Linked DNA regions of Arabidopsis thaliana. The protein of the gene in region 2 interacts with the protein of the main gene of each other region in a pairwise test. Each region holds a gene or a part of one and is shown on either strand. Other genes may lie near its edges.

What was found.
Region 1: the proteins of AT1G07400 (region 2) and HINT 2 interact in a two-hybrid assay, tested with the Arabidopsis thaliana proteins (one large-scale study listed by BioGRID).

Annotation. Positions count from the first base shown.
Region 1 is NC_003070.9:11,121,791-11,126,163, forward strand, and holds HINT 2 (HISTIDINE TRIAD NUCLEOTIDE-BINDING 2), read right to left. Parts: upstream 2,431-4,373; 5' UTR 2,317-2,430; coding exon 2,282-2,316; intron 2,204-2,281; coding exon 2,096-2,203; intron 2,019-2,095; coding exon 1,932-2,018; intron 1,762-1,931; coding exon 1,614-1,761; intron 1,404-1,613; coding exon of another isoform or gene 1,357-1,403; coding exon 1,239-1,356; intron 1,158-1,238; coding exon 1,090-1,157; 3' UTR 814-1,089; downstream 1-813. Other genes in the region: AT1G31150 (K-box region protein (DUF1985)), read left to right, coding at 111-287, 467-622.
Region 2 is NC_003070.9:2,273,006-2,276,326, reverse strand, and holds AT1G07400 (HSP20-like chaperones superfamily protein), read right to left. Parts: upstream 1,402-3,321; 5' UTR 1,180-1,401; coding exon 706-1,179; 3' UTR 544-705; downstream 1-543. Other genes in the region: RABA2b (RAB GTPase homolog A2B), read right to left, coding at 1-57; RLP1 (receptor like protein 1), read right to left, coding at 1,673-3,321. UniProt on the Arabidopsis thaliana protein: Cytosolic mediator for sorting and targeting of nascent chloroplast outer envelope membrane (OEM) proteins to the chloroplast. Functions as an AKR2A cofactor to facilitate the targeting of OEP7 to chloroplasts.

The DNA.
Region 1 (4,373 bases), 8.8 Mb from region 2:
TGTTCTTTACATTCTTACATCACATTCCCATATTTTATCTGATTACATTTTGTTTTTCCTCCTGTTATTGCTTATGGACTATGGTTATAACAATATCAAATTTCTTGTAGGATCACTGTTCTTCAAATTGTACAAAGATGAAAGAATCAATGATGAGAGAGATAGAGAACCTTGAACTGAAGCTTCAATTGTATGGAGGACATGGTCTGAATAATTTAACCTACGACGAGCTTCTTCATTTTGAGCATCAACTCGAATCTTCTCTCCATATTGCTCGAGCTCATAAGGTATATAATATACACACTCTAGGATATAATTATTTAAGCGACATATATATTAGATATTCATATACAGCATGTACTTTGGTATAAAATAGTTTTTTATAAGCACACACATATCCCAAATTTCACAGTTTTAGTGGTTCATGTCTCTTGTTTATTAATTATGTAGTTTTGAGTTCATGCAGCAGGAGCAGCAGCAACAACAAACAGACAAGCTTAAGGAGAATCTCATGGTGTGTCAAAGGCACGAAGATGATGACATCATGCACCGGCAAGTGAAGAAGGAGAACCCACCGGCGTTCTTCAGCTCCTCCCGCCGCCACAACCAGCCCCAAGACTAGGACAACAACTTCTCCCTATCTAATAACAACTTAAGCAGATCGACCCGGTTTGGTTCAGCTTACCAGACGGTTAATTTATTACCGGTTATTTTCTTTGCTGACTTTCTAATGAACATGTTGACCATGCTATGATAGCTTTCTGGTTTATATTAAAAGGTTTTCTTTAGCAGAAATTAACCAAACCTGTGTTCTGTTGTGTTCTCCTAACTCTCATTAATATGTACAGATCCATATACGATAATTGTAGGAGAGAAACTACTCATATCATATAAATTGTTAGTATTTATTTCTAACAATGAAAAAAGAAAAAGAATTCGATAACAATTGGAAATGGAAGCTATCTAATCTCTAGGAATTCACAACTGGATAAAATCCGATAGTGGTAAAAACTCATAAACCATATAAGAAAGGATTGTAGTTGACAATTTTGGAGCACGTTGGCTTTGGGTTGACATGAATCTTTCTTCTTAACCGGGTGGCCATTTCATCTGTCGGCCTCCGAGGACGTGCAGATGAAGATGGTAAACAGATTGGCCTGAATGAGAGGAAGTTAATTCAGTCATGTGTATGAGGACGATGATGCTTAATTGGATGGAAAAGAAAAGAAAAGACTTACAGGCTTCAACACCGTTGTTGATAACCACACGGAACCCATCAAGGATTCCTTCTTTCTCAGCAACAATCTTCGATGCATGTAGAAGTTGGCCAAGAACCTCTACGTGTCTTGGTTCAGCCTGCGACGGCGGTTCAGAGGAAGATATGTTTCAGGTAAAATCTTAATCTGTTCCACCAAAATAATACTTTTAACTCCTTTTTTAGTGTGGGTGGCAGCATTTACATATATTGACCAGAAACAGTGGCACAATACCATGATGAAACGCGTTACTAGTTACAGAACACAATGATGAGATTCTTTGAGACCTCTAAGAGCAAGACCAAAGGAAGTCACGAGAAGAAACAGATTGAATGTTAAAACATAAAACTGACTCACCTTGCCAAGCGAGGTCAAGCCATCTCTCAACTTGGGAATGACCAAAACATGAACAGGAGCCTGAGGGTTAATGTCTCTGAATGCCAAAACGTTTTCATCTTCATAGACAATATCTGAGGGAATCTCTTTTGCTATAATCTTGTCAAATCTAAAACCACAAGATACACATACACAAGAGCGTCTAGCATAAACTTCCACGAATCACATCCAAATCAATAACGAAGAATTAACTAGGTCACATATTTGAAAGATTAGGATCATTTGTAGCAAAAACACAAACATGGATTGCTTTGAAATCAAAATTAAGAGAAACCATACATGGTCGGAGCTCCGGTGTCAGCAACAGAAGCCGCAGCTTTCGCGGCGGCTTCTTCATTATGAGCAGCACGAGTAGAACAGATCAATCTACAGAGCGACTAAACCAAATCAGGTCAATTACAATAATCTCCATAACAAAGACAATATAATAGAGAAACTATAACCTTTTAGAACGAGTATAAGGAAGAACCCTAATCAATTCTCCGGTGGAGAAGAAGATCCTCGAAGTCACACGAACAGATTGAGCAACTCTTCCCACCGTAGAGAAGTTCCTAAAAAACGAAAAACCTCAACGGCATTAGCAAATTCAACAACCAATTCCTTATTTCTGTATCGAGAGAGAGTTTCACCGAAGCAGCAGCATAGAGGAAGAAGTGACAGCCATTGAAGCTCTCTCTGCTTCGATTCGCTAACCGTTTCGATCGATTTTTCTTACGACATTTTCAATCAAACGACGTCATTTAGAGATTATCAACATACGTCGTCGTTTTAACTCTTTATTAATGGGAAATACCGAAATGGAAAACTAAAACGTCTAAAACCACCAAGAAGAATGTCAATGCACACACACGTATATATAATCCAAGATACAAATCTACTTAACGGTGTCCAACTTCAAATTCACAAAATATTTTTTTAGTCAATTAGTTGGTTATTATTAGGTCCACATTCTCACTGGATCTTCTCAATTCCGAATTCAAAGCTTTTTCTCAACTCCAAATGTCACCCTTGAGAGACAAGTATCCTTCATGCTCATTGATGACTCTTCTAACTATAGCTTTGCGTTCAACATGTTCACTATTCCTACCCATGGCCAAGCCCTTAAAAGTTAGGGAGATTTTGAAAACTACCTTGTTTTTTAGTTATTATTTGAAAAATACACTTTCTTTATTTTTAAAAAATATTAAAAAATTTAATATATAAAATAACAGTTTTGTCCAGATTTAAAACAAAAGCTGTTTTCTTGATAAATTAAAAAAAAAACGAAATTTAGAAAAAATAAAATAAAATAAATATATTATGTTGTTTATTTTTCAAATATTTTTGAGATAAAAATAGTTTATTATATTTATATTAAAATTTAACAAAATGATATCTAAAATAGTTTTTAGTCTATCACTTAATAAAGTTTATTTATTTATTTGTTTTGACGAATTTTAGTTAAAAATATTTAAGAGAAAAATTATCTTTAAAATTTTTAGTTGCATCAACTTTTAAATTATGGGTTTCTTTTTATTTTAAGTTCAAAATAATTTTAATTATTGCTAAATTTTAGTGAGCCTAGTTTAATAATTTATATATTAAAAATTTAATTTTTAGAAAAGAAAAAAGGATAGGGTATTTTTCAAATGAAAGCTCATAAAGAGATTATTTTCCCAAATTTACTGTGACAATCGCACGTTTGGCGTTGAGTCTTTCATTCGGCGGCTCCACATGTTCAATAGCTACTGATTAAACCATCAAAATCGAAACACTAACAAAAACAGTAATCAGTTAGTAATATGTAAGCAAACCATTTCTAATTTAACAAAGGAACTCTACTAGTCATCTCCGACAAATCAAAGCTATGGATAATTATCCATTGTCACATTTTTCAGTGTAACTTTTCATAAATTAATAACTTAATTTTTAATTTATAGTTGTGAAAAGTTGTGTCTTTTTACGCGACTTTACTTTATTTTATTTTTTGTTATACTCAAAATTGTATTTTACAGTCATTAAAGATATTTTTGAGAATTAATTGAAGTTATATATGTTCACTTAGAGTTGTATATTTTTCACTATGTTTTATTAGTGTTTCTATTATCTTCAATAATTATGTCCCTTACCAACAATTTTGTCTATTTAAACATTCATGTCTTTTTAAATTTCTATATATTTTTCCTTTTTTGAGAATAATTGTGTATATTTATTATTTCCTTTTTATAGAAAGTTGTATTCTTTGGCTACCTAATATTCATGTATATACTTTGTCATCTACAGTAGAAACTTTATAAATTAATACTTGATAAATTAATAAACACAATAAATTAATAAATTATGTTGGTCCCAAGTCGGGCCAATGTAAAAATTAAACAAAATCGATAAGATAATAATTTTTTTGAAATCTCTATGTAAAAATATGGTCCCAATAATAACATAAATTAATAATCAAAATTTTTAAGATAATCTACTATAATATGAGTCCAGTGTTGTTTGTTGTCTTTTCTTAAAGTTTGAATCTTGTTGAATTTCATCTGTAATTTTCTTTTTATTGCATCAAAAACTCCGGGTGATATCTTCTCAATATGCATCCAAAATTTGTGAAGAGTTCTAGATGCGAAAATTGGTTTCTTACGTGTCACTATTTCCAAAAGTTTCTCATTATCGTCTTCAACTTCTTCACCAACATTATAGACATAAATAGCAATTTCTTTTAAAAACTCTAAATTTTTTACTATG
Region 2 (3,321 bases):
GCCGATCAGGACGATCTTGAACAAGTAATCGTACTCATGATCTATTCTATTCGCCATTGCTTCTCAAATCCTAGCGTCTGATCAACCTACGCATATACACATTCACGTCAACATCGATCGAAGAAACTACAACTAATCATCGTCAATGAGATCAAAAAGCAGCAAATCGAAACCCTAGAAAATCGAATTTTACCTTTTGAGCAAGCCGGAAGGATCGAGAATGGAACAAATGTTTTTTTTATATATTTTGTTTCTGTATTTCTCTGTTTCCTTTCCTTATACGTTGCGGGTTTTGTGCCCAAGAGGTGAAAACGGAAACTCCCTTTTATTTAGTTTCGAATTTTGAGATTCTTTTTTTTTTGTTTACCACGGAAGAAATAATTTCATTAAATTTCAACTTTTTGTTATAAGACTTTGTTACAAATCAGTCATACCAAAACTAAGATCAGATTATGCAAATTGCATATCTAAATTAAAAATTCAACCTTTAAACTTAAGTTTAGTTGGTCCCATCCGAGTTAAAATCGAATTTACGGCTAAAATCTTCAGAAAAAGCAATTGAAACGAGAATATAAAGGCCTTGCTTAATTATTAGGATTAACAGTTATAATACATCATTACCAAAACACAGAGCCATATTCAAATCAAGAGCCATAATCAGAAGAGTCTTTACGCATAAACATGAAACCCATAAGCTAATTGGCTTTAGCCAGAGATATCAATAGACTTAACTTGAGCCTTCTTCTTAGCCTCTTCCACTTTAGGCACCGTCACAGTCAGAACTCCGTTCTCCATGGAAGCCTTGACTTGATCCATCTTCACATTCTCCGGCAGCTTAAACTTCCTCGAGAATTGCCCGCTCGACCTCTCCACACGATGCCACGTGTCCTGCTTCTCCTCTTTCTCCACGTGTCTCTCTCCACTGATCTTGAGCACACTGTCGTCCTCTATCTCCACTTTAACCTCCTCTTTCTTCATCCCCGGCAGATCGGCCTTGAACACGTGCGCCTCCGCCGTCTCTTTCCAGTCCACACGTGCGTTCGTTATCGCCGATGTTTCTCCGGAGAGCGACGACGGGAATTGCAGTTCCTTGAATGGATCCCAAACGTCGAGTGAGAACGGGTCGAAGATGCTGTTGCTTCGCCTGTTGTTGCCGAAGAAGCTTGGAATAAGCGACATTCTCGATTTGATTTCGAAAGCGAAAGAGATGTTTGGAATGCTGAGATAGCTAATTACGATTTTCCGGCGAGTTCGATTTCTACTTCTGAGCAAAGCTGGTGACTCGGATGATGTATTTATAGTGGTGAACAAGAAATCTCCAGAGCTTCTAGAATTTACGGGTCCCAAACTTCTTTAAACTTCACACGAAAACGATGAAAAGATTGGAAAACAGAATCCAGAAAACTCTAGAGTCTACTAGTAGATGCCTTTCAATTTCAAGTACAGTACGACTCTATTCAGCCGTTATGCGTTTTATGGGCTATAATGGGCTCCTGAGGCCCAAATATTATGAGATAATGTTTAGAAATTGAAACTGGTATCATGTATATATTTGACATCGAAGACATATATTTTGTATACAAAAGCTTTTTCTCATCTAACTTGGATCAACTAAGAAAGCATTTTAAGACTGTGTTATTCCAGTGGTGTATACCTTGGCTAATCCACAGAATCAGTTGCAGACTGAGGAACGCTTGAACTGTAGAATATGATGAACGCATAGATCTACACGATAAAACCATTCTCGGGACCATCGTGAGTCTATGTAGAGGAAAGCAAACAATGCCAAGGATGTAGATATGTAGACTGCAGCACAAGTCCAGTAAAACCACACCATGTCTATCACATTACCTTCTTCTTCATTTTCTTCCTCTTTGGCATGCGTTGACACACTTGGTGGCTCAGGGACTCTCTGGGAGATGCAATTTTTATTTGTAGGAAGTCCACAGAGATGAGCGTTGCCTATGTAACTCCTCTCGTCAAAGGTAACAAGATGGCCTTTGAAAGGGATTTCACCTGATAAATTGTTATATGAGATATTCAAGTATCCTAAACTGTTGAGATCGGCTAGCGCAGGAGGGATACTTCCATCTAGCTTATTGTTGGATAGATCAAGACTCTCTAAGCCCTTCAGCTTTGAAATGCTATCTGGTATGGAGCCTGTGAGGCGGTTACTTGACAAATTCAGGGACCTGATATTCTGAAGATCTCCAATCTCGATTGGAATTTCACCCGATAGTTCGTTGCTCGACAAATCCAGACCATGCATATAGCGGAGAATATCACCTTGATACGCCTCATATCTGCTTTTCGTTAAAAAATCCACTACGGTTGCTGGTTTTGGTTGATAACCATTCCTGACACCATCATCCAAGTTAAGATGTGATCCATATTGACAATGTGGCAAGAATGTAATGTATGAGAAGTCAAAATCTGCAACAAGTGACATGGTACGGTCATTCTGCTCTGCACCAAAAGACATTTTACTGAAACATGATGGTATGGGGCCTCTGAATTGATTGTGAGACAAGTCTAACAGACCAACTTCACTTAGCTGACATATTTTCCCAGGGATATAAGTTTGAAAGCTGTTATTCCGTAGAAGAAGAATACGTAACTTAGATGTCTGGTCAATAGTGTTCAGTATCTTTCCAGAAAAATTGTTGTTCCGCAAATCAAGCACTTCTAATCCCGCAGCCTTGAATAAATTTCCCGGAACTAAACCCGTAAACTCATTGTTTTGTAGTCTTAGTTCTCTGAGAGATGGAAAATTCACATTCCTTGGTATCGAACCAGAGAAGCTATTGTGTGAGATGTCCATAACCTCAACCCAAGGACTCTGTCGTAGAAAAGGGAAAGGACCTTTTAGCTGATTACCACTCATGTATAGGTAGGAAAGCCTTGATATCCTACCAATCCAAAGTGGAAGCATGCCCGAAAACCTATTATCTGATATGTCTAAAAGAGTAAGATTCTTTGACTTCAATAAACCCTCTTCAAGACTCCCAGTAAAATTGTTGCCATCAAGAAAAAGCCCAACTAAACCAGTAAGATTTGCATGCTTCGAAAATATTTTCCCCTGTAATTGATTGTTGGAGAGCTTCAGAACCCTTAGCGAGTAGCAACCACTTAAAAACATAATAGGTAGCTGCCCATATAGACCATTAGAAGACATGTCCAAGACTTGTAGGCTTTTCATCTCCCCAATCGAAGATGGTATAGTTCCTTGAAAATGATTTGAAGAAAAGTTCATAAACCTCAGGTTTGGAAACACCATCCCTATGTCCTCTTGAATCGAATCATATATCATATTACTCGAGA